Rhinolophus ferrumequinum: one gene and its partners. Each later gene encodes a partner of the first gene's protein in a complex. Links are inferred from orthologs where the notes say so. Each region holds a gene or a part of one and is shown in the gene's direction. Other genes may lie near its edges.

The links. The genes of interacting proteins can lie anywhere in the genome.
Region 2: the proteins of NOTCH1 (region 1) and DLL4 are in contact, whole or in part, in a crystal structure (PDB 4XLW), measured with the Rattus norvegicus proteins. The link is inferred for Rhinolophus ferrumequinum from reciprocal best matches to the Homo sapiens genes NOTCH1 and DLL4. Residues at the interface, in NP_001099191.1 of Rattus norvegicus: Glu415, Leu418, Ala420, Asn421, Pro422, Glu424, His425, Phe436, Pro447, Arg448, Glu450, Ile451, Asp452, Leu468, Asp469, Gln470, Ile471, Ile477; in XP_006234827.1 of Rattus norvegicus: His65, Thr76, Phe77, Asn109, Phe110, Thr111, Pro113, Tyr180, Ser186, Arg187, Leu188, Lys190, Arg192, His195, Phe196, Tyr199, Lys216, Tyr217, Asp219.
Region 3: the proteins of NOTCH1 (region 1) and POGLUT1 are in contact, whole or in part, in a crystal structure (PDB 5UB5), measured with the Homo sapiens proteins. The link is inferred for Rhinolophus ferrumequinum from reciprocal best matches to the Homo sapiens genes NOTCH1 and POGLUT1. Residues at the interface, in NP_060087.3 of Homo sapiens: Asn454, Glu455, Cys456, Val457, Asn459, Pro460, Cys461, Gln462, Asn463, Asp464, Ala465, Cys467, Gly472, Glu473, Phe474, Val485, His486; in NP_689518.1 of Homo sapiens: Met103, Phe104, Pro105, Ser106, Arg107, Asp133, Gly170, Pro171, Ala172, Val173, Trp174, Pro178, Thr179, Gly180, Thr214, Asn239, Gln240, Ala241, Val274.

Annotation. Positions count from the first base shown.
Region 1 is NC_046295.1:82,309,531-82,313,266, forward strand, and holds the start of NOTCH1 (neurogenic locus notch homolog protein 1), read left to right. Parts: upstream 1-1,410; 5' UTR 1,411-1,639; coding exon 1,640-1,700; intron 1,701-3,443; coding exon 3,444-3,525; intron 3,526-3,736. UniProt on the Homo sapiens protein: Functions as a receptor for membrane-bound ligands Jagged-1 (JAG1), Jagged-2 (JAG2) and Delta-1 (DLL1) to regulate cell-fate determination.
Region 2 is NC_046289.1:64,237,120-64,240,855, reverse strand, and holds the start of DLL4 (delta-like protein 4), read left to right. Parts: upstream 1-1,111; 5' UTR 1,112-1,559; coding exon 1,560-1,625; intron 1,626-1,732; coding exon 1,733-2,002; intron 2,003-2,522; coding exon 2,523-2,580; intron 2,581-3,396; coding exon 3,397-3,663; intron 3,664-3,736. UniProt on the Homo sapiens protein: Involved in the Notch signaling pathway as Notch ligand. Activates NOTCH1 and NOTCH4. Involved in angiogenesis; negatively regulates endothelial cell proliferation and migration and angiogenic sprouting. Essential for retinal progenitor proliferation.
Region 3 is NC_046285.1:45,191,458-45,195,193, forward strand, and holds the start of POGLUT1 (protein O-glucosyltransferase 1), read left to right. Parts: upstream 1-971; 5' UTR 972-974; coding exon 975-1,125; intron 1,126-1,872; coding exon 1,873-1,963; intron 1,964-3,087; coding exon 3,088-3,231; intron 3,232-3,736. UniProt on the Homo sapiens protein: Dual specificity glycosyltransferase that catalyzes the transfer of glucose and xylose from UDP-glucose and UDP-xylose, respectively, to a serine residue found in the consensus sequence of C-X-S-X-P-C.

The DNA of each region.
Region 1 (3,736 bases):
TGACCACGAGAGAGAGAAGTCACCCCTGGCTCTGGGAAGTGTCTCCAGCTTCTGCAAGGAGGCAGGGGAGGGGCGTGGCTGCCAGGGGTCTACTCACAACACCACCCCAGATACTACCAGTGCCCTGAAACAAGTGTGCCAAGAAGGCCGGGCTGGGGTCAGGGGTGCAATCTGCCACTACAGCCTCCCAGCTCTGCCCACCTTTCTGGCAAGAGCTGCTTCTCTGCCAGTCTCCAGGTTTTGTGCAGTCCTGTGGGTTCTCTTGCCCCAGTGCCCTTTCCCAGGCAAGGTGCCTCTCCACATTTCAGGCTCCCCTCTGGCATCCACCTAAGCCAGGAATTACGGGCTGGGTGGATGCGCCTCCAGCCTCCTGCCACCGCATTCACCACCCCGTGTTAGGGTGGGTAGGCTGTCTGTCCCCAGTGGGAGGCCATGAACTCTGGTTTCCTAGGACTATGGCAGGCATTTTGGATGCCCAGAGCTTAGTCCGCCTTGGCACAGGATGCCCAAATCTGGCATCATGGGGGGAGAAATAAATCATCCGGAAGGCGCACGTGGGAAGGGCCAGGGTTGCCGGCGCTAGCTGCGGATCTGCATGACCCAAGCTTTGCGGGGCACTTTAGGTGGGAGGCTCCAGGAGAAGGGGCAGGACAGTGACCAAGGAGCGTCCCGAGGCGGGTTCCTCCTGGGGGAGCGGGTGTGCAATCCATCGGGCCAGGCGTTGGCCCCAGGCTGTTCCCCTGGGGCTCTGAGAGCCCCCTTTTCAGAGGCTGCGGCCGTGGTGTCACCATCCCTCTGGGTCAAGTGACCCGGCAGTTTAAAGCCAGGGGTGTCTGGCTACGGTCTCCGGGGGGATTAAACCTGCGACCAAAGGGGCTTCTGGGGGTGGAGCCCCTGGATTAGGGGCCCACCCACCGACTTCTGCCAGGGTGCCGTCCCGAGCCTGGGGTCTTCCCGACTGGACTTCGGCAGCTCCTCCCCACCCCCTGGCTCTCAGCTCCCCGCAGGGACCTGCCGCTCGGAGGCTCCCTTTTCCCCACCCTGCCCTCGCCTCTGCTATTGAGATGCAAATACTTTCCAATTGTCGCCGAGCCGGCGGCAGCCAGAGGTAGATCCTTCCGCAGTCTCTGACCAAACTTTTAGCCTCTAAAAACTTTCGAACGAGAAGTAGTCCCTAGAGTCGGCCCCCGAACCCCCGCACCGCCGTAGGCCCCAACTCTGGAGGACCCGGACTCCGGACGCGCGCCCCAGCTTGAGGAAGCACAGGGCTGGTGGGGGCGCGCGGAGGGGCGCGGCCAGTGAGGGGGCGAGGGGTGCGGAGGGATCGGCGGGGGCGGGGCCAGAGGCGGGGCCGGGGAGTGGGGGCGGAGCGTAGGCCGCCCTGCGCCTCACTAGTGCCTCGGCCACGGGAGGGAGCGCAGGGGCGCGGGGTGCGGGCGCTGCTCAGCCCAGGTGCGAGCCGGGGCGTGGAGCCGGGCCGAGTGGCCAAAAGAGTACAGCGCCGCCCGCCATCCAGGAAGGAGAGGACAGTAGCGGGCTGCCGCTCGTGGGATTTCCCGGCGCGCGCGGGTTTGTGTGAGCCCCGCCGGCCCGGCGCAGGAGGCCGCCACCGGGCGCAGCGGGCAGCCGGCGGGCAGGCATGCCGCCTCTCCTGGCGCCCCTGCTCTGCCTGGCGCTGCTGCCCGCGCTCGGCGCACGAGGTAGGCGCCCGCCCACTGCGAGTCCGCAACTTTCCGCGCCCTTCGGAAACTTTGGCAGCGCGCTACTCGCGCGCCCGGAGGGGCTGGGAGCGGGCGGCCAGGGTGGGGAGGGAGGGGGACCGGGCGTCCCGGGGCGGGGTGGGTCGGGAGGGGAACAACCGGAGTCCAGGGCTGGGGGAGGACTGACCCTCTCCCGCACCGTCCACCCAATCGGGGTGAGCTCGTGCCGCCCGCTCCTGGAGCGGGGTTTGAAGCCGGCGTGGGACGCTGAGCACCCCCGGAGGCCCAGCCCGGGGCTCGCCCTTCATTAGCTGTGCGTGGGGCTCGCCGCCGGGGCAGGCGAACTGCCTACTACTTTTCGATTTGAATCGAATTGGTTTTGGTTTCCTGTTGCTTTGGGGGCTATTTATCTTTTTTCTTCATTTCTGGCCCACGCCAGGGGCGGATGTTGGGGCGCGGAGTGTGGGGTCCGGGGCGCCGCGTTCGCCTTCCCGGAGCGGCGCGGCCCCGCCGGCAGCGGGGCGTGGTGGGCAGCGGGGCGCGAGGCGGGCCCGGCCTACCTACCCCGCTGGAGAGTTCGGGCAGGGCCGGGGTAAGGGGCGCAGACCCAGGATCCAAGGGTCCCGGGCTCCTGGGCGTCCCGCCCGCCATGTCTCCTCCCCACACCGGTGGGCTGTCCCCTGTCCAGGCTCACAATTTGGGGGGTGGCGGGAGCGCAGAAGACTCAGCTGCGACTGTTGGGACTTTCCCTTCGCGGAGTTCAAGTTTGGAAATCTTGCCGGATGAAGAGTGGGACGTGGGGAGGGGGCTCTTAGTCCTCTTTTCACGTGGAGGGGGTCTCCGAGGAATCTAGTGGTGATTAATTCAATTCCTCCAGAAGTTGGAGGGGAGAATTAGCTCCCCACTTCCAGAAGATAGAGTTCCATGTCTTGCCCCCCTCCCTGCCTCCTTGAGGGGCTTAATTTACACAGTCCTGGTAAGATGGTGGGGGCTTGATTAATTGATCTCTGCTCGGGAATGGGGTCAAATTCCTTCTTAATGGGGCATCTTCATCCTCCTTCCCTGGTGTATGGGGGGGCCAGCCCCGAAGATGCCCGAGGGAGCAGGTATTGGGTGTCTGCGGAGGCGGGGCCACGTCCCCAGGGTGCAGTCCCTGTGCCCCATGAGGCCGCCCTGGCACCACAATGGGCTGCTCTGATTCCTCGGCCGGCCGGCGCTTTGTTGGCGGGTGGGGCGGCTGGCCTTGCAGCTGTCGCATTTTCCCACGAATGGGGAGCCAGAGTGGGGCCACCCCCCAGCGCCGCCCCCTCGCAGAACATGTTTGAACAGCAAGACAATCCTGGTGGCTGGATAGGGGCCCCAGCCCAGCTCGGCTCCCCAGAAGATGGGGTGGGGGTGCAATGTTTGGGAGAGGGCCCAGGGCCATCTCAGGTTTTCTCCACTGCTGTCCAGGTAGCATTTCAGGCCATCACTCCCCACTTTGAGCGGGACCTGTGCACCTGCCACCCAGCCAACCTGTTCTTCCCCCTCTTCCCCATTTCTGACTACAGATCTCTGGGTAGAATGTTGAAGCCCCTTGGGGTTCATTGAGGGAAGGTCTTCCTGAGAGCCCTTGCCCCCAGAAACCCCATTATTCACAGAGCCTCCGAGGGGAGGGGAGGGCCATGTCCCTGGGGGTGGGCCTCGCCCTCGGCCAGGGCTCTGGTGCCTCCGCGGCTGACCTCTCTTCTTGCCCCTCCCCAGGCCTGCGGTGTTCCCAGCCCAGCGAGACCTGCTTGAATGGCGGGAAGTGTGAAGTGTTCCCCAACGGCACCGAGGCCTGTGTGTGAGTACGCGCCCCTGCGGGACCTGTTGCTTTTGTCGGGAGCTGAGCCCCTGCCTTCTGCAGCGGGGCCAGCAGGGACAGAACACTAGACCATTGTCCTTTGGAGATGGCCCAGGAGGCTGGGCGCTGTCACGTGCTACTTTTATTGGACAAAGTCAGGCAATTACTTAATCACCAGCAATTATGCTTCGTGTGGAGCTGGTCTGGCCTC
Region 2 (3,736 bases), on another chromosome or scaffold:
GACTGGGAGAAGCCGGCCCTCCCCGGTCTAAGGCCTCCGGGGATTACGCCAGGTTCCGGGAAAGCAGCTGCACTGCCACAGCTCTGAGAAGTGGGCCACCGGAGGAGCCGCGCAGGCGAGACGGGTGAAACCTCAAGAAACTCAAATGAGTCCGTGCGCATCCAGTTCTACTCTACATCTCGCTCTATGAGGAGAGGACCCGGGTGTGTCCGGTCTCAGCCCTTCACCTTGACTCTCCAGTGGCTTGAGCCAACTCTGGAGCCTGGAGAGTTCCTCCCTGCCTCAACGAAGCGACAGGACGCGGGAGGGGACTTGAGGCTGCTGGTTTGGGGATAGATGGTGGGCTCTGGAGCAGAAGCTGAACCCAGGTGAGGGGAAGCGCTGGAGGTGACCCTCATTACCATACAGCTGATGCTCCCCTCCTCTCCTACCTCGGGGACCAGCCCTCTTTCCCCATCTCCGCGACCACGCGTCTGGGGGCTGGCACGCGCGGAGCGCTGGCGGGGTGCAGAAGGGACCAGGCACGCGCTGGACACGCCCCCTGCAACGAGGGAGGGAGACACCCACCAGGTGGAGGGAGGGAGCCCCTCAGTCTTAGACGCTTGGCCCCTCTCCTTGCCCCCAGTGGCTACAGAGAGATTAATGCGTCCGCTGGCTTCCCTGCGGCGCCGGAGACGCGTGGTGGGTGGGCGTTCACAGGTTGAGGGCCGACCAGGCTAGGGTTCGCGAAGCTCTGTGAGGAAGATTCCGAGTCCTTTGGCGCTGGTTTCGCTTTCCGGACATAAGTTCTTTTTACCTGTTCGAGGGCTGCAGGTAACAAGCGCTGGCTGCGGACGCACCGCCCACGGGGACTCCCCAGTGTCTCCACCCCCACGACCATCCCGGAACCACTCGTTCACCTCCCGCCCCATCCCCCCCGCCCCGCCCCTCCTATTCTCCTGCTGCCCTGGTCTCCGCGCGAAACCCCACGATTGCGGAGAACTGGTCATCTCGGCACGCGCAGAGCTGGGGGACCCAGGGGCTGAAAGCAGCACTGAGGGGCGGGGACCTGTGCCTGACTGGTTGGCGGGGAGGGGGGGGTGGCGGGGGCGGAGGCCCCCTCCCGGCGACGCTAGGGCTGTAGCAGCTAGAGGCCGGGAGGGGAGGGGAGAGTGACCATGAGTCTGAGTGACAGGCAGCGAGGACAGGAGCCAATATATATAAGGAAGGCTCCCGAGCGCGCAGGTTTCAGTAGCGGCGCTGAGCGCAGGCTGGGAACACGAGGCCAAGAGCCGCAGCTCAAGCCGCCTCCAGTGCTCTGTACCCAGGCACTAGCCGGCTTACAGTCCCAGGAGTAGCCCGAGGACACGTCCTAAGCGCGGCCGCCGCCCAGCCGCCCTCACCTGGATTACCTACCACGGCAATTTGAGTGGAGCTAGCGAGAAGGCGAGGCGGGAGGAAAGCCACGAGCGGCGCCTGGCTTTTCAGAGACTCCTCCGGCGGGTGGACACACGGCGAAGCGGCGTCCCGAACTGAGCCAGCTTCAGGGCGGGCCGGTGGAGAGAGCGACGCTCCAGGGAATGGCAGCCGCGTCCCGTAGCGCCTCTGTTTGGGCGCTACTGTTGCTGGTGGCACTTTGGCAGCAGGTAATGTCCCGCGCCCCCTCCGCCCCTCCCGCCGCTCTCTGGGCCTGAACCCCGCGTTCGCCGAGCTGACGGCTCCCCTCCCTTCTTCCCTCGTCCCTGTGCAATAGCGCGCGGCGGGCTCCGGAGTCTTCCAGCTGCATCTGCAGGAGTTTGCCAACGAGCGCGGTGTACTGGCCAGCGGGCGGCCGTGCGAATCCGGCTGCCGGACCTTCTTCCGCGTCTGCCTTAAGCACTTCCAGGCGGTCGTCTCACCCGGGCCCTGCACCTTCGGCAGCGTCTCCACACCTGTGTTGGGCACCAACTCCTTCGCGGTCGGGGACGACAGTAGCGGCGGGGGACGCAACCCTCTCCAATTGCCTTTCAATTTCACCTGGCCGGTGAGCACAGCCTGGGCGCACTGGGAGGTCACGAAAGCCGAGAGAAGGCGGCTCCCTGGGACCAAAGCCTTCTCCCCAGACTTCCTCGCTCCAAAACAAAACAGCAAAACAAAACAAAACAAAAAAGGATCTCTTCCGATCCTTTCTTTCCGACTCTCTCATGAGAGGGACCTCATCCTCGGAAAGGCTCTCACCAGTCTCCCTCTTCCCAGTTCTACGCCCTTTCTTCTCCCAGCTCTTGGGATACTGTTTTCATCACCTACCACCCCGGCGCGTCCCCCACCTCCGAATGGCTCTCGCGTACATTCCCCCATCCCTCAACCCTCCTCCTACCCGGGGTTCTCCTCTCGCCTTCCCTGCTCGCGCGCGATGCTGCACGCAGACTCGTTGTGTTGACCCGGGCGCAGTAACTGTATCCTGCAATTAGATTAATTAAACAGGCTGCCGCAAGGCACCCCCACCTCCCCCCTGCTCATCTCTCTATCTCTGTCTTCCCCCGCCCCCTCCTTTCGCTTCCCAGGGTACCTTCTCACTCATCATCGAAGCTTGGCACGCGCCGGGAGACGACCTGCGGCCAGGTGAGTAGCTCTCTCCGCCGCCACAGGGGGGCGACACGGCTCAGCGCCGAAAGAGTTAACCCGTAATAAATAATAGGCGGGGGAAGTGCGGGGTGGGGGGTGGGGTGCAGGACGCTTAGTTGGGCCCGGAGCTGCGCCCCGCGCTGGACGCTCGGATTCCGCCCGCTGCCTGGACTCTGAGCACAATTGCGTTTCCTGCGGGTTATTTTTGGCGTGGGAACGCGGGGAGCACGGCGGTGAGAAAAGGCCGAAGCTGCCAGCGCCGCTGACGGGCCCCTTCCTGTATTTTACACCTTTCGCGAATTCCGCTCCTTTGGAAAGGGAATAATGGCTTTGGGATGTTGTTCTGACACAGAGGAAAAGGATATTTCAGCAGCACAACAATTCTCACTTTGAAAAGGAAAAAGAAAAGCATTACCCATCTCTGAGGGCAGAACCCCTGAATGGGCACCAGAGGACCCCTTGCTCCCGGGGTCTTCCCCAGCATAGAGAACTGTTCTTTTTTTCATTTTTTTATTCTGTGTTTTTGGTGTTGTTTTTTTTTTTTTTTCCATTTTGACCTCTTTTCCTCTTTCCCCTGCCTATCTGCCTCCAGAACTCTGGGATATCTTAACATCCTTCTATTGTCCCCCTTTTGAATGGTATCAGGCCATTTGCAGATGCACACACACAGGGTAGCTAAGCAATGGGACCCTTGGGTTCCTCTGGCCTGTGCTTGCTGGCAGGGGGTCATCTGAACAACTGGTTTGATCCATCAGTTGTTGGCACCCTCCGGGATTGGCTGCCTTTCCTTGACCTGGCCCTCTGCCCCTTCAGAGGCCATGCCACCGAACGCACTCATCAGCAAGATCACCATCCAGGGCTCCCTAGCTGTGGGCCAGAACTGGTTACTGGATGAGCAGACCGGCCCTCTCCCAACAAGACTGCGCTATTCTTACCGGGTCATCTGCAGTGACAACTACTATGGGGACAGCTGCTCACGCCTGTGCAAGAAGCGCAATGACCACTTCGGCCACTACGTGTGCCAGCCAGATGGCAGCCTGTCCTGCCTGCCCGGCTGGACTGGGGAGTACTGCGAACAGCGTAAGCAGCCAAACTCCCTCCTTCCGCCTGCCCTGGGATTGGTGGGGGTAATGGTGGTGGGCCCTGAGCAAAA
Region 3 (3,736 bases), on another chromosome or scaffold:
TGTCCATGTATTTCCACAGATGTCATTATGCACATATTATTCAATGGATAGGTGATTGTAGTTGTATGATCATTATACATACCTATATATCTATATTGTCCAGTAGAACGTTGTCCACTGATATTTTTCCATGTCTAAGTCACCCCAATTGTTGTAAATTCCTATTACAAAGAGACCTGTGCTATGCTATTTGCAAGCCCTTGAGGTCTAACAGTGCTGTACACTACAGTGTGGGGTCTAAAAAAATACTACTTTTCCTCTCACCTTCTAAGTTCTTCTAGCTGGGCTAATAATTAAATTAACAGATTAACAGGAGAAAGTCAAATGGGGAATTTCAAATTTTAATTTACACAAGCATGAAAATTCCAAAGGCAGACAACGTTGGGTATATGTTGGACATTTGGACAAAGGAGAAAAAGAGGGGAGTGGGGTCTTTGATTTTAGAAGTGAGAACGGGCGATTTACAGGTAGTTGAGGAAGAGGGGAACACACAAGGCCTGCAAATTCTTGCTAGGCAATTCGGAAACAATGGGACCCGCCGCATATCTAGCTAGGTAACAGGCTCCTGCCTGATGCCCTCCTATTTACCATACTTGATTCAAATTAGGCTAAGGCAAACATCCTAAAATCCCCTTCCTGGAGTAGGCCTTTCCATCTGAATCTCTCAGGCAGCAAGGGGGCGAATCAAAGGTTCTTTCCGAGTCTTTTTTTCTTAATAAACAGCTTAATAAAAATCTCTCAAAAGGCAAAACTTCTGGTCCCCTTCAATAGCTAACCAAATAGCTTGGCTCTAAACAAACGCGCCCTCCCGGAACACCGCCTTAACAACGGCGGAATGGGAAGCCCTCCTTCCCGGCGAGCATTCCCAGGGAAACTGCACCACAGGTTGGGACTTGGGGGCGCGGGAGGCGGAGCAGCCACCCGCCATCTCTGTGTGGGCGGCCGTCCGCCCACGTGGTGCGGCTCCCACGGCCATGTTTGTGCGGGGCGGTGCTTCCGCCAGCGCTGCAGTGGGGCACTCCGCAGGGGCTCGGCCCGCCATGGAGCAGTGGGCGCGCTCCCAGCTTGGGCTGTGGTTGCTGTTGCTACTCCTGTCCCCAGTGCCGGGCCGCCAGAAGGAGTCAGGTGGGCTGTGGGCGGGGCCGAGCCTGTCGCTGGGTCTCGGGCTCCGTCCAGAGGCGCGCTCCCGCCCCCCTCGCTCCCCCGGGCGACCCGCACCCGGTTGATGTTGTGGCCGCTGTAACGCAGAGCTGGGCAGAGGGCACGGGGGAGGGGCGCCTTGGAGCGGAGAGTGAGTGTCTGGGTGTCTGGCGCTGCGGCTTCTGCCCAGGACCCTGGAGAGTAACCTGTCCTCCGGAATCCGGAGTGATGCTGGGGAGGAGAGGGAATTCCTCAGCTCACCCATAGCGGGCATCTCCCGCGCTTGGCAACTCTGCACCTCCCTAAGACACATTGTGGGATAATTCGTGGTGGCCCTGCATGAGAGAGAGAGAGAATGTGTGTGTTCTTAGGCCATTGTCGGAAGAGATGAAGGGAAGGTGAATGTCTGTGACTTTCAATTGATTCTGTTTATTGGACTCAATTTGATTAGTACAAGGTAGAGAACCATGCCATTCACCAGTTTATCCGTAGCCTTGGAAGTGTCAGGCATTAAGAAATTTCCAGTTTCTTGACAGCCCAAGTAGAGGAGCAGACTTCACATAAGTGCTGGAGAGTTACAGAATGAATTCTTCCTGGCATTCTTTTCCACCAGTGGGATGGGAAGGGGGTGTCTAAATCTTTCGGCCTTCTGTTGGTTCTGCCTGCCTGCTTCTAGCAAATAAGAATGCTCAGGGGTATTTTGTTAACCTTCATTTACTTCACTTTTTGAAGGTTCAAAATGGAAAGTATTTATTGACCAAATTAACAGGTCTTTGGAGAATTATGAACCATGTTCAAGTCAAAACTGCAGCTGCTATTATGGGTGAGTTCTTTGATTTGTCTTTGAGAATTTAGTTCTCATCACAATGAAGTCCCCTAAGATCCCCAAGAGACCTTGGTTGCAGTTGTCAAAGAGCCAAGCATATTTTGAAAGCCGATAGGTTTCTCGAAATGGATTTCCTATTTCTGGGGGATAAAAATGCCCTGGAGTAGGAGAGGCACAGGTGGTCTCCCCGCATCGCCACCACTAACTCTGCGGGAACTAGCAAATGTACTTGTTTGTTTTCCTCGCCAGCCTGAAAGCTTCTTGAGATCCAGGTCTGTGTCTTATTCACTGTTGTATCCCTGGTGCTAGCTATCAGCAAGTACTAATAAATACTGTTGAAGGAATGAACATATTTTTAAGTGAATCTAATCATACTTTTCCTGTTGGTTATTTTTAAAGTATGCAAATCAGGACTGGAGTGGGGCATGGAAGAAAGATTACTTCAAAAACAATAATCAAAAAAAAAAAAAAAAAAAACAATAATCAGGTTCTAGTCCCACATCTACTAATCATCCCCATGGCAAGCCACTTAACTTCCCTGGGTCTCAGATTACCCATCAGCTAAATATCAGGGTCCTTTAAGCGCCTCATCATGTTATTCCATGACTCCTCAAAAAGTTCACCTGATGCTTATGAAACTTATTGAAAACTTGCTATGTACTGAACTTTAAAAGGGATACATTTTTGGTTATTGCTGTTAGGCTGCTAGAGTATGGGGTGGGTGAGGGCCAGACAGACCAGAACAAGGGAATCAGGCAGTGTCAGACTGCAAAGCGTAAATCATACCTTCTGTGGGATTCAGTGAAGGAAAGGTGAGTGGGATTGCCGTGACTGGCATCAGTAGGAAAGGTGGAATATGTATCAGGCAAGGGAGGAGCAATCCAGATAGAGGAAGGAAGAAGAGAAATTGACTTGCTTTTTCCTTTTTGTGGCTTTGTTGTTGATGATGTTTTAGATTACCCATGGTGCTTCTGGCGGAAAGGGTACTCATTCATGCTCTCTATTCTTTCCCTCAACTTCCTGTCTTCTCTAATACTAAACCTAAACCAACAGAAAGGAAGTAGGTAGAATGGTACCACTCTCTCGACCTGCTTTCCTTGATGATATCCATTCTCCCCCAGGGTCATAGAAGAGGATCTGACTCCTTTCCGAGGAGGTATCTCAAGGAAGATGATGGCGGAGGTAGTCAGACGGAAGCTAGGAACTCACTACCAGATCATTAAGAACAGATTATACCGAGAAAATGACTGCATGTTTCCCTCAAGGTAAGAATTATGACATAAATATATCTTCTGACCTTATTATACCTGGGCTTACTTGGTACTGTTCTTATAGAGAAGTCAATTAAAGGGACCCATAGGCAAATTCCTCCTCACATTTCAGAAGATTGCAAAATAACGACAAGCTCTTTATTCCTGGGAATTTTTCTTGCCTACTCCTACCTTCCTTTCTCCTATATTAAAGCCTGTCTCCTCTCTTCCTGGGGCTTGGACGTATCATTGGTTGTACTGGCTGTGGCTCTGCCCCTTCTCATCCCTCCCGGGATATACGTAGTAGCTGCAGAACACAGGCTGATGAGACCTAGCAGGAGTGAGCTGGGCGGAAAGAGGAGGAGGAGCACTGATTGAGTGTCTGTCAAGGGCTAAGTATCGTTCTAGATACCAAATAGTGGGGGGGAAGTCAAGAGGGACTTGGGCTGCGGATTACTCAGGCTACACTAGCCATGACTTAAGGTAACAAATCAGTGGGCTGAGGCCTGGGGGCGGGAGC